4 linked regions of the Elephas maximus indicus genome follow. The protein of the gene in region 4 binds, or shares a complex with, the protein of the main gene of each other region. Links are inferred from orthologs where the notes say so. Each region holds a gene or a part of one and is shown on either strand. Other genes may lie near its edges. The genes, in order: NAPA, CPLX1, SNAP25 and VAMP2.

Region 1 (7,695 bases), on a different chromosome or scaffold from region 4:
GAGGTCCAGCTCACTCCTCACAAATAGCCTTCCTCCAGTTCATACTCTCATCTCAGAACTTCCCCGAACAACATAATCTACCCCTTGTTTCCCCATACAAGTTCACTTTGATCACAATTCGCCAGTGTTCATCTTGCCTTAAAGAGCCCTGGTGACACAACAATTAAGTTACTAGCTGAAAGGTTGGCAAATTCGAATCTACCAGCCGCTCTGTGGGAGAAAAGACCTGGGTAAAGATTTCAGCCTAGGAAACCCAATGGGCAGCTCTATGAGTTGGAAAAGACTCAAGGGCACCCAGGCAGGCTGCAAGTGCCTCAAGGGCTCTGATCTCGCTGGCCTAGCTGCTCCCTCCAAGCACAACCCAAGAGCCCCCGATTCCTAGTCAGAAGGGACCAGACACCCAGAACCACCCAGGAAAACTACTACCTGAAACTGAGCTCTTGGCCCCACCCCAATACATTGCACTTGAACTTCTCCCCTTGTGAAGGAAGAAAAACACAAACACTCTCTCTCCCCTCTCAGCTTCTAAAACAACATTCTTTGCGTAATCAATATGACCCATCAGTCCTGGCTGTCTCCTCACACCACTTTCCTCCAGTCCGTTTGCTGCACATTTTCCAATCTCAAATAACAAGGGAGGGCTCCTTCCACCATCTCCTCTCTCAAAAGAACTTACTCTTATTTCTTACTAACCCCTGCTGGGCTCCTAACACAATCTCTTCTAGCCCCCAGGTCCTCCTCCTAAACCCCATTTCCTAGCCTTCTGGGGGTTCTCCAGCCTTACAGCCCTCCCTGGTCCCTGCCTCTCTTGAGTTCTCTGAGTCCATGCCCACCCCGACCTGCAGTTCTTCCTCTTTGTTGTTGGCTGTCATGGAGTCCATTCCCACTCATGCTGATCCCACGCGTGCAGAGCAGAACTATTCCATCGGGTTTTCAAGGCTCCGACCTTTCAGAAGCAGATCGCCAGGCTTGACTACTGAGGTGCCTCTGGGTGGGTTCAAACTGCCAACCTTTTAGCTAGTAAACCATTTAACCATTTGAGCCACCTGGGGACTCCTTCCTAACTCTCTGTTGTTATTAGATGCCCTCAAGTTGATTTCAACTCATTGTGACTCCAAGTGACAGATCAGAACTGCCCCACAGGGTTTCCTTGGCAGTAATCTTTAAGGGAGGTGACTGTCAGGCCTTTCTGCCACGGAGCTGCTGGGTGGGTTTGAACCGCCAACCCTGCAGTTAGCAGCCAAGCACTTCCTCTCCTAGTCTTCCTCACAGTCCTGACAGCTTCCCCTTCACCCTTTCCAGTCCCTCCCTCAGCACCCCCTCCTCTAGTCCTCCAGGGATCCCTACTTCTTCTGCCCAGAGCCCTCTAACCCTGCAGACCCCCTGGCCCGGAGCCATTTCCCCCCTCCTTCTCTCCTCCTCTTTATCACACTTAGGCTTTTTCCCCCTCAGATCCCTCCTCACTCCTCCCAGACCTCTCCCTTCAGGCTCAGGCCTTAACCCCACCAGCCCCCCTACAGGCTCCAAGCCTGTCTCCTCACATGTAGCAACATTAACAACAACCAACACTTTCCAAGCTTTAACTGCATTCCAGGCTTGCACTTACACACGCTCACAGCAAACCTCTGAGGTGGGCTTTATGAGTGATCCCCTTTAAAAGGGAAGTTCAACAACTTTACTTACTCAGCATCCCAAAGTAAGGGGTAGAATCAAACTTCAAACCTGGCCTTTATGACACCCGAAAACCACCAAGATTTCTCAAAGGATGTCGTCAGGACTACTTTCAAGACTTAATAAATTTTACGTGAAATATCCATCATGTCACAGGTGTCAGTTCTGCCTCACAGGCCCCTTTCAGGTCCTCTTCACACCCCGCACCCGCCACTGTCCCCAGACCTCCCCATCCTTACTCAATGATCACAAAGCAGCCTTAACACACCTCCCTTCGGTTCTTCAGTTTCCTCATGTCTCCCTTTGATCCCTCAATCTCAGCCAAGCCGGCATCACCCATTCCCTCACCACACATTCCTCTCCAGCTTCTGAGCTCAGGCCTCCTACATCATCCCCAGGGACTCCTCCACTTGGGTTCCACTCCAGGCTAAGATACTCTTAAGACTGGTCACCACCCCAGGCACTTTGCACACCTTGACTTGGGCTCACCACTCTCAGGATCCCCGGAGCCCTGATACCCTCGGCCTGGTGTCTGATTCCTCGGTCCTCACCCTTCACCCAGGGTCCACACAAATCCACTTTCGCGGGCCTCGGAAATGTCAACACCTCGGGCAAGTGGCTTCAGCCCCAGGCCTCATCAAGGATCCTTGAAATAGGTTCTCCTAGAGCTCCGAAAGACTCCTTAACCTAGCTGCCGCAACCTCTCAGGCCAAGCCCCTTTCAAGGCCTCGGCCCATGTTCTCCTCCAGCCCCTTGGCCCGTCTTGGATGTAAGTTCCCCTAGCCGCCTCAAGATGGTGTCGCCTCGGCTAGTGTCTTCTCAGCCCAGGTCCCCTCCGCCGTCCCACTGTCTCTGCTCACGCCCTGTCGCCAAGGTCTGGGCCCCTTGGCCCTCAAGCCTGTGTCCCCCCGCTGCCTTGGATCATGTCTCCTCATCCCGGAACCCCCTCCGTCCTCTTGGGCCGAACCCTTTGTGCCTGCCCCGCCGCTTCAGGCCGTAACTCCTTCGGCCCGTCACTCAGCCTAGGTTCCGCCGGCCCGCGGCCCGGTTCTTACCCAAAGAGGCCAGAAAAGAAGGACTGCGAGTTCTTCACCTTGCGCTCCGCTTCGGCCAGTAGCGCTATCGCCTCCGCTTCCTTCCCGGAGTTGTCCATGGCGGACGCAAAGGGACTCAGCAAACTGTCCGAACCGGGCCCTGGGAAGACTCTGCCCTGGCCCGGCCGCAGAAGACAGGTCCGGGGAGCTTAGCGAGCTGCGTTGACGTCGCACCGGCGCGCGCCGCCGGCCGCCCAGCACCATGTGACTTACGCCGACCAACCAACAGCCTCGTGACAAGGTGCGCGCCCCACCGGCCACGCCCCCGCCAGCCTCCGCGTACCGACCAATGAGCCGCAAACTCCAATCTGCATCTGCAAGACTTAGACGCGTACGCACAGCAGCTTACGGCAGTCTCACTGCCCACGTGACTCGGCCTAAGCCAATCCAAATCCTCGCCGTGAAGATCCGCCCCCAGGGCGCCACCTTCCTGGTTCTTACTCCACCAATTATCAGCTGCCCTCGCTAGGGCCCGCCCCTCCTTATGGACCTTGAGCACTGGTCAGCTGACGGCCGACCCTCACGTGACAGTCGACTGGCGCAGAGCTTAGTACCGCCGCATATGTGCTTATCTCCCGCGGTTCTCTTCCAATTGGAAGGGCGTGTGTGGTAAAAAAGAAAACATTCTGCCTTTTCATGCGCCCTCTGCCGACGACCGCTGAAACTGGTGGGCGGGGGGAGGCTAGGAAAGTACTCCAAAGACCGGAAACAGAACTTTGAGAACAGAGGTTCTCTAACTCTACTTGCTTAAGAAGTTGAACAGTTATGTGAAGTGTGTACAACAGGCAAATGTACAGACACCAGTGATTGCCAGAGGCTGGGGGGAGGGCTGAGTGGGTACGGTTTGGGATAATGAAAGTTGTGGATACAGTGGTGATAGTTATATAACATTGTGAATGTAGTTATATAACTGAATTCTACACTTAAAATGGCTAAAAATAGCAAACTTTGTGTTAACGTATTTTACCACGGTAAGTTTTAGGTTCACGCACACTACGCCCTAGATCTTGGTTTCTACCACCGTACTGCAATAAGGGAACGAGGGGCAGAGCATTATGCAGATGGGCCCAGAGCATCTTGTAGTGCCAGAGTGTAAGGCAGTGCTAAAACGAAAACAAAACACACGCACAGTGCTGGGGGGAGGTCAAAGGGGCACTGGAGCAGGGCTCCCAGTGGCCACAGCTGGAGCAATTTGAGTAACAAGTAGTATTGGATTATAACTCCAAGTATAAAATCATCACAAGTTCACCACCACCATCAGTAGCCATTCAGTTGACAGACTCCTGGCGACCCCAACTGTTGGTGACCCCATTGTGTTAGAGTAGAATTGTGCTCCACAGTTTTCAGTGGCAGAGTTTCCGGAAGAAGACTGCCAGGCTTTTCTTTTGAAGTGCCTCTGGGTGAGCCGGAACCTCTAACCTTCTGGCTAGCAGCGGAGTGCGTTAACCATCAGCATCATCCAGGGAGACTGATACAGATTTTTAAATGATCGAATAAATAAATGGGGGAAAACAGACAAATTTCCTAGGCAGAAGAATTCCAAATAATTTATGTAGATACCCCACCCTCACGGAGGTGGAGCATAACTCCTCATTCCTTAAGTGTGGGCTGCATATAATAACTTCCTTCCAAAGTGTACGGTATGGAAAGGATAGGGAAAAAAAAAAAAGAGTAACTTTATAGTGCAGAAACACTGCCTCAGCCAGGTGATCAAGGTCAACATCAACAGTGATAAGTTATGTTGACAGCATATACCCTTGATATGATGTAATGAAAATGGCACTTTCCCTCTCGTCTTCTTCCCTAAAACCCATAACCCCATGTCTAATCAGGAGAAAAACATGAGACAAATCCCAATTTCTAGAAAATACCTGACTAGTACTCCCCAAAACTGTCAATCTCTGAAAACAAGGAAGTCTGAGAAACTGTCACACCCAAGAAGAGCTTAAGGAGACATGACAACTAAATGTGATGGGATGCGCTGGATGGAATCTTGGAACAGAAAAAGGACACTCAAAGCCACTGCCGTTGAGACGATTCCCACTCATGGTGACCCTATATGGCAGAGCAGAACTGCCCCATAGGGTTTCCAAGTCTATAGTATTTATGGAAGTAAACTGCCACATCTTTTTCCCGCAGAGCGGCTGGTGGGTTTGAACCAACAACCTTTAGGTTAGCAGCTGAACACTTAACCACTGGGCCACCAGGGCTGGTCAAAAAGGACATTAAGCTAAGGACATCTGAATAAAGTACTCTGTTAAGTGCCATCAAGTCAGTTCCAACTCATTGTGACCCGATGTACAACAGAACAAAACATTGCCCAGTCCTGCGCCATCCTCGCAATCGTTGCTACCTTTGAGCCCACTGTTGCTGCCACTGTGTCAGTTCTTCTCATTGAGGGGCTTCCTCTTTTTTGCTGACCCTCTACTTTACCAAACATGATGTCCTTCTCCAAGGAGTAGTCCCTCCTGATAACATGTCCAAAGTACATGAGACAAAGTCTTGCCATCCTCACTTCTAAGGAACATTCTGGATGTACAGATTTAGTTCATTCCTCTGGCAGTTGACAGCATATTCAACATTCTTCACCAACACCATAATTCAAATGCATCAATTTTTTTCAGCCTTCCTTATTCATCATCCAGCTTTCACAGGCGTATGAGGCTATTGAAAATACCACAGCTTGAGTCAGGTGCACCTTAATCCTCACAGGTGACATCTCTGCATCTTAACACTTTAAAGAGGTCTTCTGCAGATGTGCCCAATGCAATATATCCTTTGATTTCCTGACTGCTGCTTCCATGGGTGTTGGACAAAGTATGGACTTTAGTTAATAATAATGTATCAATATTGGTTCATTGATTGTAACAAGTGTACCATAACCACGTAAGATGTTAATAATAGGGAAATGGGTGTTGGGTATATGAGAACTTTCTGTATGATCTTTGCAATTTTTTCTATAAATCTAAACGGTTCTAAAATTCAAAGTTCATTTTAAAAATTCAGGTTTCAAGGCTCTGCCCCCACCTGATTCAGATTCTGAAAGCCTGTGGCAGGACACAGGAGTCTGCGTTTTTTCCCACAAGCTCCCAGATGACTTGGTTGCAGACAATCCGGGAACCACTGTTTGAGAAAATGCTGTTTGGGGTTTGGCTGAGCAGAGTTTAAGGCACAAGAAACCTCCGCCCCACTCTTTTCTTAAACAGGCTCTCCTGGACCACCCACAGGTGGCTGCCACTGTATGCTGACCACAAATTGGGTGGGGTGATTCTGAACTACCACCAGTAATTTTGGTTCCGTGTCCATCAAAGCGGCACTATTCTAAGAGCTCCCATGTGTTTTAACTGTTAAGTTGCAGGGTAATTTGTTGTGCAATAATAGAAAACTAATATACCCACGGTTGCTGTCAAGTCAATTCTAACTCATAGCAATCCTACAGGGCAGAGTAAAACTGCCCCATGGGGTTTCCAAGGCTGTACACTTTGCAGAAGCAGACTGCCACATCTTTCTCCCACAAAGTGGCTGATGGGTTTGAACCGCCAACCTTTAGGTTAGCAGCTGAGTGCTTAACCACTGCACCACCAGGGCTCCTGATAACTAATACACCACCCCCAACCCTTTTAGCCAAAGACATTTCCAGAGCCATGGAGTTTGACTTGCTGTTTAAGCTGTGACCCGGGCAATTATAGCAATACCACGAGTGTTTGTTCAACGGGAGCTAAGTTTATATGGTGCACCCTGCCACACACTTAATTTATGTTTTCTCATTTAACAGATACATGGCAGATGGCGGTATGCATCTTTCATCCCATTTTACAGATGAGAAAAATGAGGCCCACACAGGGCAAATGACTTGTCCACAGTTATGATGAACGAAGAGGAGCCAGGATGCAAATTCAGGTTCACCTGATGCCTGGGATCCTTCCCTTAACCATGGAGCCCCAACTGCTTTAAACCACTTCCTCCTCTGCTCTTCCCACTCTTGAGCACTTAGCTGTAAATGCTGCCCCTCTGTGAACCATCTGACACCACCCTCTGCCCTGCTCAGAATACAGCAGTTGTAGACACAATCACACTGCGATGCCATCGCCAGCTCTGCTGCTCTTTACCATCTTGGCTGATGGCACATACTTAGCTGCTGAAGCCCCAAACCTGCACAGCAGGCTTGACTCTGCCCTTTTCCTACCAACTCTCCCCATGATGTGCAACCTGTCAACAAGTCTGCAGAGTCCAGCTCCGAAAGGCATCCCTAGTCTGTGGGCTTCTTTTCCTCTGCACTGCTACCCTCACCCCCACACTCCCAGCCCAGGCCACCAGCATTTTTTACCTTAGAGTCTTCTATCCAATCTCTGGCTTCCACTCTTGTTCCGTACAGCCCATTCTTTATAGCTGTCAGAGAACGTTTTTTAAAAGGTACTGCTGTTCTCAGCTGCTGTTAAGTCGGCCCCCATTCTCATGGCGACCCCACGCACAGTGGAACGAAAAGCTGCCCAGTCCTGCACCACCCCCATGAGTGATGGTCATTCAGACTATTGTGATTCATAGGGTTTTCCTAAGTAGATTCCCAGGCCTTTCTTCCTAGTCTATCTTAGGAAGCAATGCTGAATCCTGTTCAGCGTCGGAGCAATGCAGAAGCCTCCACTGACGGATGGGTATTGGTTCTACGTGAGGTACTTTGGCCAGGAATGGAGCCCAGGTCTCTGTCATGGCAGGCAAGAACTCTACCACTGAGGAACCACTGCCCCGGTACTTGCTGTAGTAGGTGCTTAATAAATGCTTGCTGAATGAATGTACGAGTTAATCTGTCCAGCTCCCCCCGCCCCAAGCCACCAGCTCCCCCAGGGCAGGGACTCATTTTTCTGTTCTCTGTCACGCTGGCACGCGCCAGGGCTCAAGGCCCTTGTGGGATCAACAGGCCAGGGAAACCAGA
Region 2 (6,923 bases), on a different chromosome or scaffold from region 4:
ATGTCTTGGTGACGTAAGCATTACAATTAGGCGGAATCTGCAGACTACCCTTGGCCATGAGGCTCAGGCCATGTGGCCCCGGGCCAGGCTCCCCTGTCTTCTGATTTAATTTGTGTTGATCAGAAATGCAGCCATGTTCCACAAGACAATCTGTGTCAGCTCCTGTCCTAGGCGGTAGGAGGAATGGAGGGAGGGAAGACAGCATGAGGCCAGGGGAGGGGTCAGGCACCAGACCTGGGGGTAGCGGCGCCCCCCCTTGTTCTTGGCACATCTCTCACCAACTCCCTCTCCCCCATCACAGTAGTACTGAGAGAAAGGTTTACATATAGATCACCTGATTCATACTAGGCTGTGAGTGAAATGCTCCCCTACGCAGACCGCGTGTGAGTGCAATGCCATCATACCCAAAGAAGACATTCCTAACGGTGGAATCGGCCCCTGAGAGCTGGTGCAGAGGATGGGTTGCAAGGTCTTCGGTGCCATTGTGAACCAACCCCATCTGCAGGGCTTCCAGTCCTGGGCCAGGGCCTCTAGCCATGATAATGGCCTTGGGCCATGTATAGGCTCTTTCCAATAGGAGCCAGCTCTGTTGGAGGGGGAGTAGTATGTCCCCCGCAAACACGCACACATAAGAAGCTGAACTGGCTCCTTGGAAGATGGTGGGATCACATGAGGTGTCCCTGGCCTCTTCTTGGACCTCTGTGTTCAAACATACATGTGTCCTGCCAGCCCTGGGGGCAGTGCTTTCCCCCATATCCTGAGTGAGAGCCACTGAGTTCTTGATGAAAGCCACAGGTCCATCTCTGTCCCTATGCCCCATGCAACCACTGCAGTATCTCTGCAGCTCCTCCTTGTCCACAGCTTGGCTCACCAGGAGCAAAGCCCTGTGAGGGTCACTCAGCCTGACCACAGTTAGGGCCGTCCTTTGATACTCCCACCCTGGGGACTTCTTCCTTAGGTTGAGTGAGTGTATTTATTACTGGTCAGCCTTTCCAGTGGTCTCTGCCCTGACAGTGCTGGGGTCAGGTTGAACTTACACACACCCTCCCGCCTTCCCTGTTCCCCCTGTACTCCCTCCCCTCCCTGTGCTGGCAAAGGAAATTCAGAAAGGCTCAAGTCTCTGTCAGGACATAGCCTTCTTGTTCCCTGTGCTTCTGCTCCGTGTCTGCAATGATGCCTCTGGGGGTGTCTCTGTGGGTCAACAAGCAGCCCCTGCCCCCGCCTCCTACCTCCCAGGGCCTGTTTCATCACGAACTCCATGACAATGGCTTTGATTCCTCAGTGGCTCCTCGAGGTCGAAACTCACATGCACGTGAGGCCAGGCAACCTGTAACTGGGGGAGGAGAGCAAGGTGGTCACAGTTGCCCTGACTAGGCTTGGAGGCAGGGGCTCTGTGTGGGGAGAGACCCACTTCCTCCTTGCCTCTGCCAAGCCTTTCCCAGAGCAGAGCCTGGGGGTCTGGGGGATCAATGTTTGCACCACATCCCTTGTGGGGTGGGCCTCTGCCTATGTGAAGCATTTTTCCACACCCTGACTAGGGCGGACAGGTTACAGGACCCCAGCTAGACCTGCAAAGGGGTCTCTTTAGGTCCCTGAGCCTTCTGGGGTCCAGCTTTCAGCTGCTATTACAGGGAGGGGAAAGCTCTGACAACTCCAGGGGGTGAAGTTCCTAGCAGCCTGGCGACAGCCTGTGCAGAGCAGAGGCGGGCCCAGGGGGCATTTGAAGGTGACAGGATGTGCTCAGTGGCTCAGGATCCAGGCTGCCACCACTGGAGTGATCTCAGGGCCACAAGAGTGGGGTATGTCTAAGGGATGAGGAAGGGACAGGGCAGGCGGGGCCTGAGTAGGTGCTCTTCAGGGGAGGCCCCTGTGGCTTCTGAAGAGGGGTGTGTGGGAGCCAGGCTCTATCCTGGGGAGTGCTGCCTCCACCCCGCCTGCAGCAGACAGGGGGTGGAAAGGAGAAGCCGCAGGGGGCCCAGTCTGCAAGGAGCCAATGGGAATGATGGGAAGGAAAAACCCCTCCATGCATCTTTGTGGGGAGATGCTCCAGGGTCCCAGTCCCCAGCCCAGGCCAGCTGGGGCCCTGGTGGGGAAGTGCTTCCTGGAAAATCACAGCAGCTTCAATGCCTCCTGTACCTTGTGCGACTTCTCCAGGAAGGAACCCCAGGTCCCTGGAGACCTGCTGTTTTACTGTTTTCCTCTTTGCAGATGAAGGAGAACCTACTGTGCAGGCGTGGGGTAGGGAGGGGTGGCCGGGCCAGGGAGTGGAGACTGCAAAGCGCTGGCTCACAGGGGCGCCTTTGGCGCAAAGCAGATTCTCTCCCAAACTTCTCCCCTGGCTCCAAGGGAGGGAGGGAGGGCGAGTGCTGCAAGGGCCCAGCCTCAGAGAGTCTCGGGGTGCTGCGGGACCTTCCTGACGAGATCCAAACCAGCCCCGGGGCCCAGACCCCCCACACGCGGGCCCGGGGCTCCTGCCGCCGCACCCCTCGGCTTTGTGGGCGAGTTGCCCGGCTCTGCTGAGCGGCGTGAGGTGGGAGCGCTTCAGGAAAGAGAAAGAAAAAAAGCAGAGAGGACGGGAAGGAGAAAGGGAGACTAGAGAGGCAGGGGAGACAGAGAGGCTGGAGAAGGGAAGAAGCCAGGAAAAGAGAGCGAGGGCGGAGGAGGGCCCGGGACTGCGGGGCTGCTTCAGCACCACGACGACGGACAGCGCCCGCGCGCCGGACAGAGTCCTTGCAGAGGCCCTGCACAGCCAGGGCCGGGCTGGGGGAACCGGGCCGGGGTGGGCCGGCACCTGGGGAGCAGATATCTGCGGGATCAGGGACCTGGGGAAGCGTAGATTTGGGGGGACCGGGAGCTGGGGGAGCAGGGCCTGGGGAGCGGGCCCGGCCTGGACGGGCTGCGGGCGGGGGCGCCGGTTACCTTCTGGGGCCCAGGAGCGAGGCGGGCAATCAGCGGCGGAGTGAGCGCGGGCCGGCCAGGTCCATGTGGCGCCGGCAACTGCGGCGGCTGCTGAAGGGCACCGCGACGAGGGCGCGTCACACGGAGGCTGTCCCCGCCCCCCGCCCGCGGCAGAGCATGACGAGGAGGGCGGGGGAGGGGCGCGCTGAGGGGCGGGGCGGAGGCTTGGCGGGGGCGGAGCGGGAGCCACGGAGCCGCGCCCCCAAACATTCCGGATTCCCCGGCCATCCGGGAGCGAGATGCCCCTACCCGGCCCTCAACTTTTAACCGCAGACCTCCCTCCCCCAAGTATGAGAGCCCCTTCCATGTGGACTTGCCCGGGCGGGGGTCCCGCCCTCCTCCCCCACAGGGCCCCCCCTCCCACCCCCTCCTGCGGTGAGGGACTGGTAGGTGCGGAACCCCGGGGAGCAGAAAAATCCCTGCTTGTTCAGCTGGAGCGGGGCAGGGGTTTGGGGATCTCTGCCCCTCGCAGTTCACTCGGCCAAGGCGGGAGGGGAAGCACTGTGAGAGATTTTCCTTGCGCGGGGGGTGACCGTGGTCCTGACCGGGCTGGGTGTCCTGGGCGCCTCCCAAGACCCAGACCCCGCCTCTCTTGGGCCCACTCACTGCAGGGCGGGAGAAGGGCACTCCCAGAACCCCGAAAGCCCACCCAATTCCCCTCGCGGGGACAGACCTGCAGACCAGCCGGGAGCTAATTTGCATGTATCCCAGTCGCAGACTTAGAAAGAGCACCACAGAGTTTCACTGTAGTGGAACAGGCTGAGGGACCCCCGAGGAAAAGAGACCAAGGGACCGTCGCAGCCCCCGGACGGGCAGGCCCAGGGGGCGCTGCTGTGGAGAGGCGGCTGGAGAGAGGGCTGTGTGGGGCGGCCCCCTTTCCAGGCAGGGACTCGTGAAGGTCACTGCGGACCGGGACGCGGCGCGGGACAGGGTTCCTCCGGACGGGGGCCGGTGGCCGGGTCCTCTCCGCCAGAGGGGGGCCCACTGTGGCTCCGAACCCCGCACCCCGTGGCCTCCCCCTCCCGGGACCTCCGGGATTTCGTCTGCCGAGGGTGCGCACTGCGGTGGGAGGGGTCGGGGTCGCTGCAAGGTCAGAGCGCTGGGCCTCCTGCCCGCTCCTCCCTCAATGGCTGCAGGGGATCCTGATCTGAGCACCTGCATACAAGAACTGGGCCCCTCTGCCGGCAGGGACTGCAGCCCAGCTGGCTGTCTGAGTCACTGGGGGGGCAGCCCAGTGGTGGCCTTCCGCCGGCACCTTTGAGCAGGTGGCCACACTGCATGAACCACGCACTATCCTCTCCTGGCTGAGTCATGGGGACTCCTCCAGGCCTGGAGTAGAAGGGACATCCTGGAGCTGCCCCAGACCCTCACCAGCCCCAGGAAGACCACCCTTCTGGCTCCTATCTGGTGCCCTGGGCCTCCCTCTCTAGCCCCCAGGAAGCTTAGCCTCCCTGCAGAGAGCCTGGACACCTGGATCCACGTGGGACCTTGTGCCCTGTTCCTCTCCCTCCGATGACCACCTCCAGGCCCGGCAGGGTGTCAGTGGCCTGACTGGAGACCCTCAGCAGACCAAGGATGAGGGCAGGGGGATCAGGGAGGCCAGCACTGCTCCTTTGTGGTGGGGAGGTAGTTGGGTGGGGTCCCACTCTGGCCTCCACTGCAACCAGCGTGAATCTGAAGGGACCTGGGGGCCAGGAGCAACTTTGGACAAGAGGCTGTGTCCAGGGTTGTGGGGTCTCCCTGCCACATGGAGCTGCAGCCTCTTGGGAACTCAGCACTGTCCCTTCTCTCACTGACAGCTCCCGTCACCTGTCACCTGGAGGCGAGACCCACAGGCCTTGCCCTGGAGGTGCCAGGTGAGAAGCAGGAGTGAGGGGCACCAGTTCTGCCCTCAGGAGCACCCAGGCCCAGGGTGCGGTTCGCAGCCAGGGTGGCCCGAGCACCGCTCTGTGCAAGGCTAGCTGCCTCTCCCCTGACTGTCCAGGAACAAGGGAAGATGAGACACAGGGCCCTGCAGCATCTTTGGAGCCTGGGAGGGATGGTGGTGGGAGGGTCCTGCAAAGAGAGAGATCACTTCTCCCCATGGAGCCTCCTCTCTCCACCGTCACTGCTAGAAAGGGCCACAGCTGACCTCCCAAGTGTGAGTCACAGAGGCTCCTAGAGGTGAGCCACACTGAGCCACAACCACCCCTCGCCTGCCACACAAGCCTTCTGCAAGGTGCCCAGTGACCTCAAGGGTAGGCTCCAGTGGGGTAGGGGGCAGTCTGCATCATGTCTGCAGGATAGAACGGTGTCCCCAAAAGCAGGACATCAGACAGGGTGTAGGGAGCATCCAGGGGTCCACACCTCAGTGGTGGCCCCATAACCAGGGCCTGACAGAGCTCCTCATGTCCAGAGTCAGGGACCTACGAGGGGCCCATGCGTTCTGCCTGCCCCCGTGTCTCTCTGTTTCTCTCATCCTCCTCTCTCCCTGCCTCCCTCTTTCTCTTTGCCTCTCTTTTTTTGTTTCTCTCTCCTTCCCTCCCTCTCTGTCTCCATCTCTTGCTGTGTTTCTGTTTCTCTTTTGCTGCCTCTCTGTCTCCATCTCCCTGTCTCTAGCTCTCTCTGTGTGTCTCTGTCTGTCTGACTCTCCATTTTTCTCTCTCCCCTTACCCCCTTACATCACCTGCCCCCCTCACAGATCCCTCCCCCAACAGCACGCACACTTCTCAGCCCCTTCAAGATGACAATTCCAGGTCAGACCCCAGTGATCTGGGATGGCTTTGAGGATGACAGGGCCTCGGGGAGCGCTGTGAGGATGTGATGTGGGCCAGAGCCAGCACGGAACTGCTCATGCTGTCAGGGCTGGGGTCAGAGGGGAGGCATGGGCTGGGCCCAGGTGGGTTTGTCCTGTGGTAGAGGAAAGGCTTGTGGCAGATGGCCTCCACCCAGCCACGTCGCTATACCCAAGTCCCAGGGGCAGGCAGTGCCTGAAAGAGAACCCCAAGTATTGCATGAACCTCCTCCAAAACCCCAGCGGCCAGAAAGAGGCAGTAGTTTAGCGAGAAACCTCTGTAAAATCTGAGGACGGCTGAGCAGAGGGAGGGACAGCAGAGGTTGCTGGCTGGTGAAGACTCAGGGGAAGAGAGCTGTTTTCTGGGCCTCTTGAGGTCTCTGAAGTGGCCTCCATACAGGATGACGTCAGGGTGGGAGGGGGGGCAGAAGGGGATGACCAGGAGGTCAGGTGAGGCAGCTATGAGGGCGGAGGGAGGGTGGCCAGCAGTGGAGCCCCCAACAAGGGGGAGGCTTTTTGCCAGAGGGTGACCCCACAGAAGGGTCAGCTTTGGGGAGTGCATACTTTTGGCCACCATGAGCCCTGCCTGTGTAGCCCTAGAGAAGCTGCCCTGCCTTTCTGGGCCCTGCCTGTCCAACAGGGATAAAGCCACCTGTCCCACTCAACACCATCTTCCAATGTGGCTACTCTCCAGAGAGCAGCCCCAATGAGGCCCAGAAAGCCCAGGACCCCAGGCAGGAGGGTACGGAGGATCACGCCTCCCACCCAAAGCCAAACCAAACCAAACTCATTGTCTCTAGTCAATTCCAACTCATGCTGGCTCCCAAGTGTTGCAGAATAGAACTGCTCCATAGGATTTTCTCGGCCGTAATCCTCACAACTGGACCAGCAGGCAACATCATAATAAACAGAGAAGAGACTGAAGTTGTCAAGGATTCATCTTACTTGGATCCACAATCAAAGGCCATGGAAGCGACAGTCAAGAAATCAAAAGACTCATTGCATTGGGCAATCTTCTGCAAAAGACTTCTTTAAAGTATTAAAAAGCAGTCACCTTGAGAACTAAGATGCACCTGAACTAAGCCATGGTCTTTTCAATCACCTCTTATGCATGGGAAAGCTGGACAATGAATAAGAAAGACCAAAGAAGAATTGATGCCTTTGAACTGTGGTGTTGGTGAAGAATATTGAA
Region 3 (6,998 bases), on a different chromosome or scaffold from region 4:
TCTTAAGCCAATCTGTTTTGAGATATAAAAGAGAGAAGCCAGCAGAGAGACATGGGGACTTCATACCACGAAGAAAGCAGTACTGGGAGCAGAGTGCATCCTTTGCACCTGAGGTTCCTGTGTTAAGATGCCCCCAGACCAAGGGAAGACTGATGACAAGGACCTTCCTCTAGAGCTCTAGAGCTGACAGAGAGAGGAAGCCTTCCTCTGGAGCCAAAGCCCTGAATTCGGACTTCAAGCTTACTGGACTGCGAGAGAATAAACTTCTCTTTGTTAAAGCCATCCACTTGTGGTATGTCTGTTATAGCAGCACTAGATGACTAAGATATGCCCTAACAGTCTTTTGAGACATTGTCACAGGGTTTCAAACATGCTCCAAAGGAGGACGTTGTAAGAGTAGGGGAGATTCTGAGTTTGGCTTGTTCTAAAACTACTTCCAAGTTGACTTTGGAAGATCATATGGCATTCTATAAAAGTTTTTATTACTATTATTCCTTATGAGGTTGTAATTATTGAGTCATCTATGAATCTCGCCCCTGACCTCAGAGAATACAAGGTAAACTCCTTGGATCTGGAGCTATTGCGAACCAGAATACTTTTGGGGCATGTTGTACCAGAAAAGCCTTTCAGAGACTGAATTAGCATAGTGTAAATATCCATCCAGCTGAGCAGGTAATTTCCTCACTTCTCATCAAATGAGATCCTAAGCATTAGTTACTCTATGTGTTGGTTCTTTGCAGAAATAACTCACAGGCAGCTGAATCATTTTGGAGCAAATTTTCCATCACCTTCCTTCGTTGTGTGCTTCAGGCCATTATAGACCCTGAGTAAAATAAATCTGCTGGTTGTGGCAAGGTTGACTTTTATTTTGTTTTTGTTTGTTTCATTTTGTTCTGTTTTTTTTTTTTTTTTTTAATCCTCAAGCCATGAGAAAAGCAGAGGGGGAAATCTCATTCTTATATTCCAAAAGCATTTAGCACTATCTATGGGGCTCTGTCCTACAGGGTCACTATGAGTCGGAATACACTTGATGGCAACGGATCAAACCCACTGCCCTCTAGTTGATTTCAATTCATAGCGACCTTATAGAAAAAAAAAATTTTTTTTTTTTTTTTAGAATTGCTCCATAGGGTTTCCAAGGCTATATAAATCTTTAAGGAGGCAGATTGCCACATCTTTCTCCCAGGAATGGCTGGTGGGTGGGTTCAAACTGCCAACCGTTTGGTTAGCGGCCTAGCGCTTTAACCACTGCACAGCTATGGCCCCTTAGCACTACCTAGTCATCTTTGAAGAAGCTCTGGCTGCTAACTGAAAGGTCAGAGGTTCAAACTCACCAGCTGCGCTGTGGGAGAAAGCTGTGGCAATTTGCTTCCATAAGAAACACTATGGGGCAGTTCTACTCTGTCCTATAGAGTCACTATGAGTCGGAATTCGCTCAGAGGAAATGGGTTTGGCTTGGGTTTGGTCATCCTTCGTAGACTTTCAGCTCCAAATAAAGCTAAATGTCCAATATTTATGTTACTCAAATTAGATTCTGTTGTCTTTCCCAGAATAAGATGAATCTTTCAAAGGACATCATTTTTGACCTAAACACAGGGGAAAGGAAAGTGCTGTGACCACCACAAGATATCTTTTAGGACCTGTGATGTTTTCTGTGATGTCTTGAATCAACCTGGCTCTCTCTTCTTATCTATCATTTTTAAAGATGTCAGTGTAGGACATCAGCTGTTGAAAGCTCAGACGCCACGCCAGCCCTCCCCTGGTGACTTCCACTCAGCTTCTGTCTGTAGGATGAGCCTCCATCACTGATGTGATTCCTTTATACTTTTTTTTTTTTTTGATCTGGAAATTCCCCCACCTCCTCTTTTCCTTCACAAAACTTTCTGCCTGAATGACTTCTAGTCTGAAGGCCAGACACATATTTTGTTTCTCCCCACTGCAGGATTTTCTTCCCCGAACTTCCACATGCTGTCTTTTTGTGTGTGTGCCACATTTTGGAAACAATCCTAACTGTAACAGCTTTTGCTATGCCAGCACTTCCCCCACCCTAGCCCACCCTGCTTTGTAATAAAAGTAAGAGCCAGAGCTAGGACACTTTCAACAGTATATAAGTAAGAACTTTACAGATTTTCTTGTTGTTTATGGTATAGGAATTTTAAATGTTTACTATATAATTAAGTAAACAAATTTCAGTAGCATGGTTTTTTTTTGTTTTTTAGAAATCCAGCTTTAATAAAAATCCAAATGACATTTGTTAATTGTGATTGCAAAGAGTAATATTTCAAAATACCCTTTGAGTCAGAGAAGCTTTAAGAAACAATGACTTAGAGGCGTCCTTTATTAAAGTCTGACAGCTCTGCTCCCTCTAAACGCAGTCCCTTTACAGCTCTACTTTCCTCCTCTCCTGAGCTCTCTCTCTCCAATCAAGCACAATTAAAAGCCTTATTATTGCTTAAGCTTGGCTCTCAAACCAGCTGGTGGCTGTTTGGGGGAGGGGGGGATGAGGGGGTAGAGGGGCTCCTTGTGTGTTGTTTTCCTAGACCCAGTTCTGAAAGGTTTCTTCCAAAAAAGGCAAGGATTTTCCATCGTCTAAGAGGCCATCAAGTTTTAACGTTGCAAGGCACGACTTCTAATCACATCCCTCCCGGAAAAGTACAAACAGTTCCTCAGCTGAGGTCCCCCACCTCCCACGCGCTCCCCAGCTCGCCCTCCCCGCGGAGAGCCCCGCGACAGCCTCCCCAACACCTGTGAATCATCCAGAGGCTGCCACCGCGGAACTGTTTGCATAACCCCCCCCCCAGCACCTAATGCACGAGGGAAGACCGTTAGGATTATTGCTTTATGATTATTATTTTTAATCTTTTATGACCAGCAAAACTAGCCTTTCTCGCCCATGCCCTGTTTGAGCATCAGCGGGACCCCAACCCAGGGTTTGCGCACCGAATGAACCACCAGAATTTTGTCGTGTCCAAGCCACCCTTGAACCTGCAGCCTTCTACTTTTCTCTGGAGGTCTGGGCGGTTCTATGATTCTGTAAGGCATATACGTGCCCTACTGGATAAAAAAAGATACTCAACGTCAAACCCCAGACTCCTATTGCAAATTCAACCGAAAACAGCATCATCTATGTTGCCCTCCGCAACTGCAAGCCTGGAGCCCTAGCAAGACGACGCTGGTTGGGCTAACTGCCTTTCCTCCGCGTCCCCAAGTCGTTTGATATATCACGGCGATAATTGCTCTGACGTACTTTAAAATAACGTCTGCGACTCTCTCTCCAACTGACCACATTAACGAGAACTCCAAGCCCTCGATGCTGCTTTGATAAAACAGAGATCACTCATAAAAATAGCAACCCACGTAGGCTGGCCATATATGGAACTAGACAGGGTTGACAGGGATGCCCCCTTTGAACCCTCTTCTTTGGCGAAAACAAATCTCTGCTGAAATCTACCCCCCAACACCCCTCCTCCATCACCATCACCGCCCCCCGTCCTCTGTCTTCCCCTCCCCCTTCCACTGTGACTCAACCAATGATTCAACTCAGCAGGGAAAAAAATATATATATATATATATATATATATGTATAGGGTTTGGGTTATACGTATATATATATGCACATACTTATATATGTATAAAAAATTAAATACACATATACGTATATATACATATACATACACATATATATGTATATACACATATATATAGTAGCGAGATAAATGTGTTTGCTCAAGACCGACTGTTAAAATGGAGTCAGAAGAATCGCCCCATTCGGCTGTTTATAAAAGACTTAAAATTCAAAGGTTTGCAGTGAAGCGTTCAGGGAACTGAGTCAAGCGCTCCGCTCCTCCGGCTCCTCCCCTCCCACCTCCAGCCTCTGTCCTCCCTCCGCCCTCCCCCAGCACACTTCCTCCCCGCCCCTCCAGGAGATGGCTATTAAAAGCTGCTGACGTCAAAAGGGACAGCCATCTTTGATGAGGGCAGAGCTCACATTGCATTGAAGACGAAACCTCGGGGAGGTCAGGTGCTGTCTTTCCTTCCCTTCCTGCTCGGCCGCTCCTCCACACTTGAAACCTGCAGGGTCCCGGCGAATACCATCCTCTGGAGAAGCCAAGGTAAGGAGCCCCTCCTTGGGCCATGGTTCTGGATCTCGGTGACTGCAAACTCAGAGGGGACCACAGCTGGGCAGACCAAGTGGGCTTCGGTAAATACAAGTATTTGTGCACCTAGGGTGCGGTATTCTGTGTGTGCGCGTCTGGCTAGACTCCCGCCTGGGGCTTTATAAAGTATTTTCGAGGTGAGCTGTTAGGGGGGGAGGGATGAATGGGGACACTGCAGATGGAGCGATGGGAGGAAGCGCAAGGATACGTACCAAATAATAACTTACTCTTTTCAAACTGTAGTGGGACCTTCTCTCTTCCATTTTGCGATGCAGTTTTCAGTGGTGTTTAGGATGCTGTTTTCTTTTTCTGTAGACCAAAACAAACAGACAAAAAAATCTGTCCACCTAACCCTATTATGATCGTTGTGATTAGAAAGCAGTTATCCAGTGAAGAATTAAGGACAAGGCAGGGTGGGCGCTGGAGAGGCGAAAAGACAAGGAGAGAGTTCCCGCCCCGGGCCAGCTGAGCTGCGGCAGCGACAGCAGCCTCCATGCCCCCACGGACTTGATTTATACCGCCTGCTCCACGTCAACTGCAGGCTGGCGGGAGGCGGGCGGGTCATGCTGGGTGGGAGGGCTCTGTGGAGGGCTGGCGGCAGTGGGCTCGCCTCGGGGACTGCGGAGGCCCGCACTCAGAACCCTGGACAGCGTACCCAGGGCCCGCGCTGGCTCCCGCGACCTTCCAGCACCACGGACAGCGATCCGGCCGCAGCGCCGCAGCTACTTGCGGCACAGGTGCCTGGCCAGGGCGAGATGCGCCAGGATTGGACGCCAAATTGCCTCTTGGAGACAGAGATACCTAATAGAGCAGGCGTAGTAGGTAAAAAAAAAATCGTGCCTACAGGGACTCCTTTGCAGGTAATTACTTGCTCCCTCCGCACCTCCTGCACAGCTTAAAAAAAAAAAAAAAAGTCTACTTGTGGAACCATTCTGTATGCCCTCTTCACCTCCTTTTAGATAGGAAATGAACACATTTTTAAAATTTGTATTTATTCTCCAATTATATAATCAAGGTTTCGTTTGTGTTTGTTTTTAACATAGAGTAGGCGTTGCACTGTCTATGAAACTTCGGTAGGCATGAGTGTAGTATACATAAAGATGCCAACACTATCGTTTATAGGAGTGAATACATCTCTCTGTATTTCTATTTGGTGAAAAAAAAAAAAAAACGGGTTGCTGAACTAAACAGAATCAACTACTTTAAGAATTAATCCTTCTCCCTCTGTCTTTTCCCTCACTCTTATAATTATGTGTGAATACAAGCACACACCCACACAAATACATCTCTGATAAATATTTACGAGTCCCACAGTCTATAGATTTAACCTCTTTGCTAATGGTTTTAGAGTTAGGGGAAGTATTTCCTGTGAATACTGGCTATCTCAGGCCAATAGTTTGTGATTTTGACAACATTAAGAGTGGTCTTCTTAGGTGGATCCAACTGTGTCCTTCAGCGTACTGCAGGTGAAAGAACCACAGTGTTAGACTGAAAGTAGACTCTGACCTTAAGATCTACTGCAATTTCTTTTATGGCACTGCGGGATTTTGCTGAGGTGGTGATAAGTATTCTGACCGTTTTCTACTCTGAGGCTTGGAGCCCCTGAGCCAGCAAAAATCATTACAGAGAGCTTTCTTTCCATTTGATATAGATAAAATTGGCATGAAATGACCAGGAACAAAATAGTAGTATTATAATAGAGTCATTGGTAAATAAGAGTAACTGTGTCGTATGTAAAAAATATATACAACGCATTAAGGAAACGCCATCATGACCCTCTTAAAAGCCTCACAATAAGATCTTGGAATGTTTTTAGCCAGGGTAACACTAATTATTTGTATACTAGGTGTTAAAATGCCCTATCCACATAGAAGGACTTTTGCTCCCAGCTATTTGTTTATTTTCTAGTGTTTATTTTTGTTTTTATAGATAACCATGAATTTCCAAATATGTATATATTGATCTGTTATTGTGCATGGATGTAAAATTATTTGGGTGGAAATGTATTCAAGAGTATGTAATTGTGTGGAAGAAGTTTATAACTCTGCAATCTGCAGAAGAAATAAACAATTGGGTTTTAGTGATGGGAGGAAGGAGAAAAAAAAGATGGGCAGGAGTCTTAAAAAATGCTTTGACTTCATGCTTCATGTCCAGACAGCTCTCTGCGTAGTTGCATCAAATGAAAGCCTAACGCTGCCGGAAATACATCCTTGGACATTAGTAATTACTGCTGGGTTTATTTGCTAGTGGAAGAGGGGGGAAGGGCGGTAGAGGACTGCAGTGAAGCTGGCAAAGGGCACAGAGCTGGGAGGAAGAGGAGATGTGCAAAATTATGGAGCGAATTCTAGGACATCTTCCTGAAAAATTAAAGAAAAAACATCACTGAGGCATGAATTTAACATTGATATTATTGACAAGCTTCAGAAGAAAAAAAAATCCAGATCTTTTCCATTTTAGGTTTCAAATTTTAAAAATCCAGGGCAATATGGTAAGAAGAGGCAGGAGCAGATGGACACAAGGACCAGCCAGGAAGCACTGACGCAGACCCTCTGACGGTAACACCTGCCTGCCATTGGCATTTTCTGCATTACCACTGTGGCATTCGGATTACAAAACAATTTATAATCTTCTTAACCTCCCATGGCACCACCTCCTAAAAATTCACAATTTTATTTTTACTTTGCTGAACCTGCGCAACCACATATGTGCACACACATACACACACAACACAAACTGACCCATAATTAGCTTGTCTAAAGACATTTCCTGAATTCCAAATGTTAACCCCAGAGTATCAACCAGAAGATTGATATTTCTGCCAGTGGCACCTCTCTGCGTAGT
Region 4 (7,119 bases):
GAGAGAGAAAGGCTTCCCCTGGGGCTGGCACTCTGAATTCGGACTTCTAATAAATTTCTGTTTGTTAAAGCCATCCATTTGCAGTATTTCTCTTATAGCAGCGCTAGATAACCAAGACACCCATATAGTAAAATATATATATATATATATATATTTATAGAAAGCAAATCAGAGGAATCTGCAAGAGACAGATACTATGCAGCACAAGAAAAAAAAACATAACTGTTAAGTAAAAAAAAAATTGAAGGTGCAAATCAATGTGTATAGTCTGTTAGCATTTGTGTTTTAAAAAAAGGAAAAAGCACCAACTCTGCATATGCTGGTCTGTGCACCAGCTCTCCCTGGGGACTCACAGGACTGGAGAGCACCTGTGTCAGGGCGGGGCTTCTGGGTAGCTCCAAGCGAGGGTTCATGGTACATTCAGTGTACTTTTTCAATTTTTCAATACGATTGTATTATCAATCTTAAAATCTAACATTGAATTTTAAAAATATAATTATTATCCTCAGAGAGAAAAGACATTGCATTTTGGAAAAAAAAAAATATATATATATATATAATAATATATGGTCCCTGGGAGGTGCACATGGGTATGCATTCTACTACCAGCCAAAAGGTTGGTGGTTCAAACTCAGAGGTGCCTCAGAAGACAGGTCTGGTGATTTGCTTTTGAAAGGTCACAGCCTTGAAAACCCTATGAAACAGTTCTACTCTGCATACCTTGGGTCGTTATGAGCCAGAATTGACTCAACAAAAAGTAACAACAACTTGATAATGTAAAGAGCCTGGGTGCTGAGTCGCAATCGACTCGACAGCCACGGGATGGATAGGTGATGCAAGGGGTTGCTCCACAGAAGAAAAACCCTGACAATCTGCTTCCATAAAGATCATAGCCAAGAAAACCCTATGGAGTAGTTCTACTTTGTAACTCAAGGGGTCGCCATAAGTCAGGACAAATGAATTGAGGGGCAGCCAAGGGGACTTTAGCTTTATGTTTAATGTTTTAGTATTTCACATGAAGAATGCAGTCACACCATCTGTGTATATAATTAAAAACTACTTTAGTGCATGTGGCAATCCATGTAAAGTGTCAGGCACACAGTAGGTCCTCTTCTCTCCAGGACCCCAGGGCTTCGCAGGCAGCCCTGGGAGCCTTCTGCCCTAGACGGCTCAGCCACAGGTCAGTGGGTTTGAACAGCTGACTGTGATGGGGCTAGGCCCCTAGTCCAGCATTCCCAAGGGCAGATTTCTTCTGCTCCTGATTAGAAGGCCTTTTCTTTACAAGCTGGTTGACACACACGACGTCCCTCAAATTAATTACTAGTTTGGTCAGGCTTGACTCATGTGGATGGGGCAAGTTCTTGAGTCAGCATGGGAATGAACAGGCCCCCTTCCATTCCAACTTCTAAGCCAGTTTTTGTTAGAAGAAGGAAAAAAAATAATGAAAGAAAACCTTTTTAGAGTGTGGTCTCCTGTGGCCTACATCGGAATCAATGGAGGTGCTTGTTAGAAATGCAACCTTGGGCCCCTCCCACATCTTTTGAAGGAGCCTTCGAATGGCCCTGGGGTGGGGATGGAGGGCTAACCCAGAAGCTGGTAAATGGAGAAGCCTGGACCTCAGTTATGCAAATATACTACTTCATTTTTCTGGAGTTCAACTTACTACTTCTTTTTTGGGTCTCTATTCTATCTGCTTGCAGAAAACATTCTCTTAATTCATTTCCAAGTAAACTCAGTCATCCCACCCCACCCCTTCTCCTGCCTCCACCATTGATCTAAAATTGGGGAGTTCCCTAGGTGGGGTGGTGCCAAGAGGGGCTGCACACTGTGAGTTCTCTCTCTGAGGCGTATCCTCCTGGGTCCCCACCTCCGTGGATCATATGTGCCCCCATTTCTACCCTGTCGCAGGATCCTGGAGCGGAGTGAACAGCAGCAAGGTGTCAGCTTTCTACCCCACACCCAATGGCCTTGGCTCCCCCAATTTATCTGGGGCTCTGTGGCTCCCACAACCCCTGAACTCTGCCTGGGAAAACTGGAGTCACTCCTAAACCAGTGTCTAGCATCTTGCTTGCTTGTAAGCTTGGTCTCCCCAGCTAGAGCAGGGGGTTCTGGTGGGTGGGGAGGCTCTGTCTGCACTGCTTTCCAACCTTCCCTGTCTTATACCCTGACACTGAGCCTTTTGAACTTAAAGCCTGGAATTTGACGTCTTTGCTCTTTGGCCCGAAAGGAGAGTGGTTGCAGGGCCAAAAAGCAGGCAGCCAGTATGCCATCTGAGACCCCTACTGAAGCTGCTCTTTTTTCTTTTCCGCATAGGCTGAGCCACCCCAGCCCTCCTGTGTCAGTGCACAAAGGGCAGGGAGATGGCTGCTCTGCAGAGGGGGAGGGAGCCAGAGCATCTGATCTGAGATCCTGCTGAGTCCCCACATCCTGCATAATCCCTGCTCACTCACCTCCCCCAGACAGCTGTGAAATGACACCTCTGGTGACAGAGCAGGTCCCCAGGCTTCTGCTGGGAAGGGGGGTGCTGCAGTGGGCAAAGTTCTCACACCCAGAGGCCCTGGGAAGCCTCGGTTGGGGAGGGAAGGAGCTGGCCCCTGTTTGTCTCAGAGACCAGGCCACCAGGCCTCCCTCCACCCCAGCTGCCTGGGATGCAGTGAACACCCTCACCCCAGGGTCACTAAATAAAAAAAAATTTTTTTTTTTTTTCTTCCCTAAAATGTCTCTTTCACGCTTGGGGCAGGACAGGCAGTCTCATCTCCGTCACCCTCCAGAACCTGCAATGCCCGCAGTGCCTGGCCCGCTGATGATGGGCGGGGTGTGAGTGTGTGCACCTGCCGGGGCTGTGTAAAGGACCGAAACAGAGGCCAGTCAGAGATGGAAGGATCATCTCCTACTACCGTGTTATACAGATCAAACCATATAACAACTATATATACAGTGCCTACATATGAAACATATTTTTGGTCCAGAGAAGGCCAAAGAATTCTCCAGGGTCATACCTTATGAGGCTAATCCACCTGGAAAGTAACACTGTGTAACCTGGGCACTGCAGGTGTCTCCCTCAGGCTGGTCCTGTACCCACTGTCCTCCTTCCTCAAACAAAAACAAAGCAAACAAACAAAAATCTGCCCTTTTGGCCCAGGCCCAGTGCCTGGAGTGAAAGGATGAGTCCTCTTCCCCCACGGCAGGGGTAGCTGACCCCACTAGGGCCAGAGCTAGGTTTCGGCCACCACGGGGCAGTCTCCTGCCCTCCTTCCTGAGGTCTTTAGGCTCCCCTACCTCATTTTTTACCTCAGTTGGGCCTGCTTCATGTTCCCCTGCCAAGTACCCCGGTCTGAATTCCCACTTGTGAGGTGGGACAACTCTCATCCCCTGCAGCCCCTCCTCGGGCTCGGCTGAGGGGAAAAAGCCTGCACCGCCTCTTTTTCTTCATTTCCCTTCTACCCAAACCTCCCTTGGGACATCTACCTACTGGACGATGGGGTGACGACGAACCCCCCCCCACCCCACTCCATCTCAGCAAAAGACTCCCGGCTCTCTGCATTGCCTCTGGGACCTGCACGTCCTCGTCTGAACGCCCACCCTACCCACCCACTCCCAGCTCATTCGTAGTGCTGAGGAGAGAAAGGCGGGTCTCCAGACTTTGGGACCGCGGCACCGGGTGAGACCTTGGGCTATGTGGGGTAGGGACTGGCTTACAGGTTTCACAGATGAGGAAGGATGTGGTTTGAGGGTGAGATATAGGGCCCGGCTGCGGTGTGCTGTAGGGCTTGGGGTAGGCTGTGGTCAGACAGGGCGGGTTGGCGGTGGGTCTGGGGGCTCGCAGGTGCAGTGGAAGGTGTAGGGGCCCCCGGGCACGAGGGCCTGGACCTGGCAGACACGGCCCCCGCCCCGCCGCGCCCAGCCCCGCCCCGCCCCCGCGGCCGGCTCCCGACGAGTCGCCTGCCGCGCCCCGCCCCCGCCCGCAGTGCCCGGATGTGGGTGACGTGCGGCCGCCATCTTCCTGTCCCCGGCAGCAAGCGCCAGTCGGAGCCAGCTCGAGCCGCCGCCGCCGCCGCCGCTATCGCCATCCCTGCTGCTGCCAAGTCCTCCGCCCGCTGCCTCCACCATGTGAGTCGGCCGCCCGCCGCCCGCGCCGGGCTTCCCCGCGCAGGCCTGCAACCCTTAGGGACGGACAGCTGGGAGTGCCCGGGGCTTTGGCGGTGCCCCCCGCGCTGCCCGCACCCCGGAGGCAGGCCAGCGCCCGTGACTGCGCGCGGCGCCCAGGGAACTCCGCGTCCCGGGCTGGCCGGCAGACGATGGCCGCGGGTGGAAGCGGACCCGGGTGTCCGCCCATCCCGCCTTGCCTTGTCACCGTGGCCGCAAGTCATGTCAGGTGGACCCTGGACCGCGTCTGTGATGTCGCTTTCATATGACAGGCGGGGAAACTGAGGCCCGGAGGGGGGAGGGGCCTCGCTCAAGGTCACGCAGCTCTTCAGCTGCGGGGCCGGACGGAGTCCAGGGCTCTCGTCGGGTGGCCTCCCTCCCGGGAAGGTGGAAGAGAGGAATGGATGGATGGACAGGCGGCTGGGCGGAGCCCTGGCCCTGAGTCTTAATCCGTCCCTGCCCCTCAGGTCTGCTACCGCTGCCACCGCCCCCCCTGCTGCCCCGGCTGGGGAGGGAGGCCCCCCTGCGCCCCCTCCAAACCTGACCAGTAACAGGAGACTGCAGCAGACCCAGGCCCAGGTGGACGAGGTGAGTGGGGGGGGCGGTGTCAAAGCCCGTGGAAGGATCCTAGGGGTTGACAAACAACTGTGGGGGCCCATCTTGGGTTGGAAAAGATGACGGATAATTAATGGCTATGTGTTTGGGGACAAAGACATACCATGCCCCATCTTTGCCAGCGTGTACCTGGAAGGGCTCTGGGATGTTAATCACCCTGTGCCAGCCAGGGGTGTACCAGCCTGGAGCCTGGAGCAGGTGTGCTTCGGTGATGGACTGGCTACTGAGGCTTCATAGATAGAGCTATGATATCTGAGGTGTCTGGCTACCATCAGGCTCCTGATGTGTGCTCCTTGCATGTCCCCAGGTGTGCTAGGCGTGTTCTGTATGCGTCCTTGGCATGTTAGCCTGGCAGCATCGGGGTGCATGTTCCATATATGGCACAGTGGGTGCATGTTCGAGCAGTGCTTTCACTGAGGCGGGCCTTGGTACACCTCCTGCCTCATGGGCCTCTCAGGTGGTGGACATCATGAGGGTGAACGTGGACAAAGTCCTAGAGCGGGACCAGAAGCTGTCAGAGCTGGACGACCGTGCGGACGCACTCCAGGCGGGGGCCTCCCAGTTTGAAACAAGTGCAGCTAAGCTCAAACGCAAATACTGGTGGAAAAACCTCAAGGTAAGGGTGGGGGCGGGCTGGGGGGCGGGTAGGAGGGCTGCTGGGCGAATGGGGGTAGCATAGGTTGTCTCATGGACTCCCCTCTTGCCCCCAGATGATGATCATCCTGGGAGTGATTTGCGCCATCATCCTCATCATCATCATCGGTGAGTGGGGAGTGGGTGGCCAGGGCCCTTTCTCTGGAGAGGTTTCCCCTGTGGATCCTGGGTTTTGAAGGTCATTAACATTGTTTTTACTATTCAGCAAAAAACATACATAGCTGCCAGTGGCAGTTCTGATTCATCTAGATCCCCAAACCTGATGTTGTTTAGCCTGCACTTTGCCTGGCTTTGGGCGATTTCTGTTAAGATTTTGGAAACAGGAAAGCTGGTGGATCCCTACTGCTCCCTTGAAGACCCTTTGGGCCTTGAGAGCCCAGGCTGAGTACCCTGGAATTGGGGAGTGGGAGAGCAGGAGAGGCCCAGGAGCTCAAGATTAGAAGCCAACCACCCCACTCTTTGAGAGCTTGTGGGCTCAGAGACCTAGAGGACTAGGGGTCTGTGGTCCCAGGGCCATACCATGGAGTTAAAGGGACCTCAGAAGTTGCCTGTCCAGCTCCTTGCTTTTATAGATGGAGAACCTGAGGCCCAGAGAGGGAAAGGGACGTCAGTCAGCCGGGGAGTGGGGAGGACTGGAGCAGGGCCAGGCCTGACACACTGCTTTCTTTATCTTTCTCTCTCTCTCCCTGCTCCCCCTTCCTCCTCTTTCCCTCTCTCCACAGTTTACTTCAGCACTTAAACCCCTGAGGAGCCTGCCCTGCCCAGAGAGGGGCCTCTCCTCCTCCCCCCAGCCGCTCCTCCACCTCTCAGCCATATCTTCCAGCCCCTCCCCTGAATCCGTGTGTGTGTCTGTGTGTGTCCCCTTGTAAATAGCCAGCTGTTATTTATACATATATAATATTATATATATTTGGTCTGTTTGTAGTTTTATTACTAGAAGATTTTTCCGGTTGTCCTTAACACTCCTTCCTGAGGTTCCCATCACCTCCTCTCTTTCTTTCCTTGCCTTCCCCTCCTTTCCCCCAAGTCCCTTCATTTGCATCTGCTATGCAATAGTCCCTCTTCCTTTCCTTTCCTTTCCTTGGATTTAGCTGATCCTTCTTCCTACCCAGGCCTTCCACTCATCCCCACTCCACCCAGCCCTCCCCTCAAAACAAAGTGCAACTGTCCAGACCTCCCTAGGTGCATCTCCTCTGCATCCATTGGGAGGCTCTGAGACTGGCCCCACAGGGTTCTAAGAATCCCAAGGTCTTCTGGGAAGCTTCCAGCATGTTTATTAGCATATCATTTGCATACTGACATCTCTGTTGGTTTCTTTTTTGTTTCATCACTCTTCACCCATGTTTCTTTTTTACTGAGGAGTCCCCATTGGTTCTCGTATCACGCTTTCATTTTCATGGCATTACTTGCAGGTGGTGGGGAGCCTGAGCTTTTGGGGAACCAGGCTGTTCTGGTCCCCAGAATTGCCCTCTCTTAACCCCTCTAGTCCAGTTTGCCTCCCTTACCCCCATTTTCCAAACCTCTTGGCCCCTCTTCTCCGTTCCCTGGCTGGTGTATGTGTCTTGGAGTTCAGTGTGTTATGACGGACCAATATAATTCTGCCACTCGGGGTCTCTACCCACATTCCTGCTCCCCAGTTTTCGAGTGGGGAGCTCAACTGACATTCCCATGGGGTCTCCCTCCCTCCCATCTGCCTGATTCACC

Evidence for each region.
Region 1: the proteins of VAMP2 (region 4) and NAPA are in contact, whole or in part, in a cryo-EM structure (PDB 3J97), measured with the Rattus norvegicus proteins. The link is inferred for Elephas maximus indicus from reciprocal best matches to the Homo sapiens genes VAMP2 and NAPA. Residues at the interface, in NP_036795.1 of Rattus norvegicus: Gln36, Ala37, Asp40, Glu41, Val43, Arg47, Val50, Asp51, Leu54, Glu55, Gln58, Lys59, Arg66; in NP_542152.1 of Rattus norvegicus: Arg116, Thr118, Lys122, Ser157, Ser159, Ser160, Lys163, Leu197, Tyr200, Ser201, Lys203, Arg239, Ser268, Ile269, Arg271.
Region 2: the proteins of VAMP2 (region 4) and CPLX1 are in contact, whole or in part, in a crystal structure (PDB 1KIL), measured with the Rattus norvegicus proteins. The link is inferred for Elephas maximus indicus from reciprocal best matches to the Homo sapiens genes VAMP2 and CPLX1. Residues at the interface, in NP_036795.1 of Rattus norvegicus: Arg47, Val50, Asp51, Leu54, Asp57, Gln58, Ser61, Asp64, Asp65, Asp68, Ala69, Gln76; in NP_074055.1 of Rattus norvegicus: Leu41, Arg48, Tyr52, Glu56, Arg59, Glu60, Met62, Arg63, Ile66, Arg67, Tyr70, Gly71, Ile72.
Region 3: the proteins of VAMP2 (region 4) and SNAP25 are in contact, whole or in part, in a crystal structure (PDB 1SFC), measured with the Rattus norvegicus proteins. The link is inferred for Elephas maximus indicus from reciprocal best matches to the Homo sapiens genes VAMP2 and SNAP25. Residues at the interface, in NP_036795.1 of Rattus norvegicus: Asn25, Thr27, Ser28, Asn29, Arg30, Arg31, Leu32, Thr35, Gln38, Val39, Glu41, Val42, Ile45, Met46, Asn49, Lys52, Val53, Glu55, Arg56, Lys59, Leu60, Glu62, Leu63, Arg66, Ala69, Leu70, Gly73, Ala74, Gln76, Phe77; in NP_112253.1 of Rattus norvegicus: Gly131, Gly132, Phe133, Ile134, Arg135, Arg136, Asn139, Leu150, Glu151, Ser154, Ile157, Gly158, Leu160, Arg161, Ala164, Leu165, Met167, Gly168, Ile171, Asp172, Gln174, Asn175, Ile178, Asp179, Ile181, Met182, Ala185, Asp186, Asn188, Lys189.

What each region holds. Positions count from the first base shown.
Region 1 is NC_064829.1:101,403,300-101,410,994, reverse strand, and holds the start of NAPA (alpha-soluble NSF attachment protein), read right to left. Parts: upstream 3,006-7,695; 5' UTR 2,825-3,005; coding exon 2,727-2,824; intron 1-2,726. UniProt on the Homo sapiens protein: Required for vesicular transport between the endoplasmic reticulum and the Golgi apparatus. Together with GNA12 promotes CDH5 localization to plasma membrane.
Region 2 is NC_064823.1:158,722,847-158,729,769, forward strand, and holds the start of CPLX1 (complexin-1), read right to left. Parts: upstream 3,008-6,923; 5' UTR 2,920-3,007; intron 1,334-2,919; 5' UTR 1,261-1,333; coding exon 1,230-1,260; intron 1-1,229. UniProt on the Homo sapiens protein: Positively regulates a late step in exocytosis of various cytoplasmic vesicles, such as synaptic vesicles and other secretory vesicles.
Region 3 is NC_064843.1:48,990,518-48,997,515, forward strand, and holds the start of SNAP25 (synaptosomal-associated protein 25), read left to right. Parts: upstream 1-3,980; 5' UTR 3,981-4,112; intron 4,113-6,998.
Region 4 is NC_064837.1:12,615,328-12,622,446, forward strand, and holds the start of VAMP2 (vesicle-associated membrane protein 2), read left to right. Parts: upstream 1-4,116; 5' UTR 4,117-4,554; coding exon 4,555-4,734; intron 4,735-5,218; coding exon 5,219-5,377; intron 5,378-5,471; coding exon 5,472-5,591; 3' UTR 5,592-6,137; coding exon of another isoform or gene 6,138-6,154; 3' UTR 6,155-7,119. UniProt on the Homo sapiens protein: Involved in the targeting and/or fusion of transport vesicles to their target membrane. Major SNARE protein of synaptic vesicles which mediates fusion of synaptic vesicles to release neurotransmitters.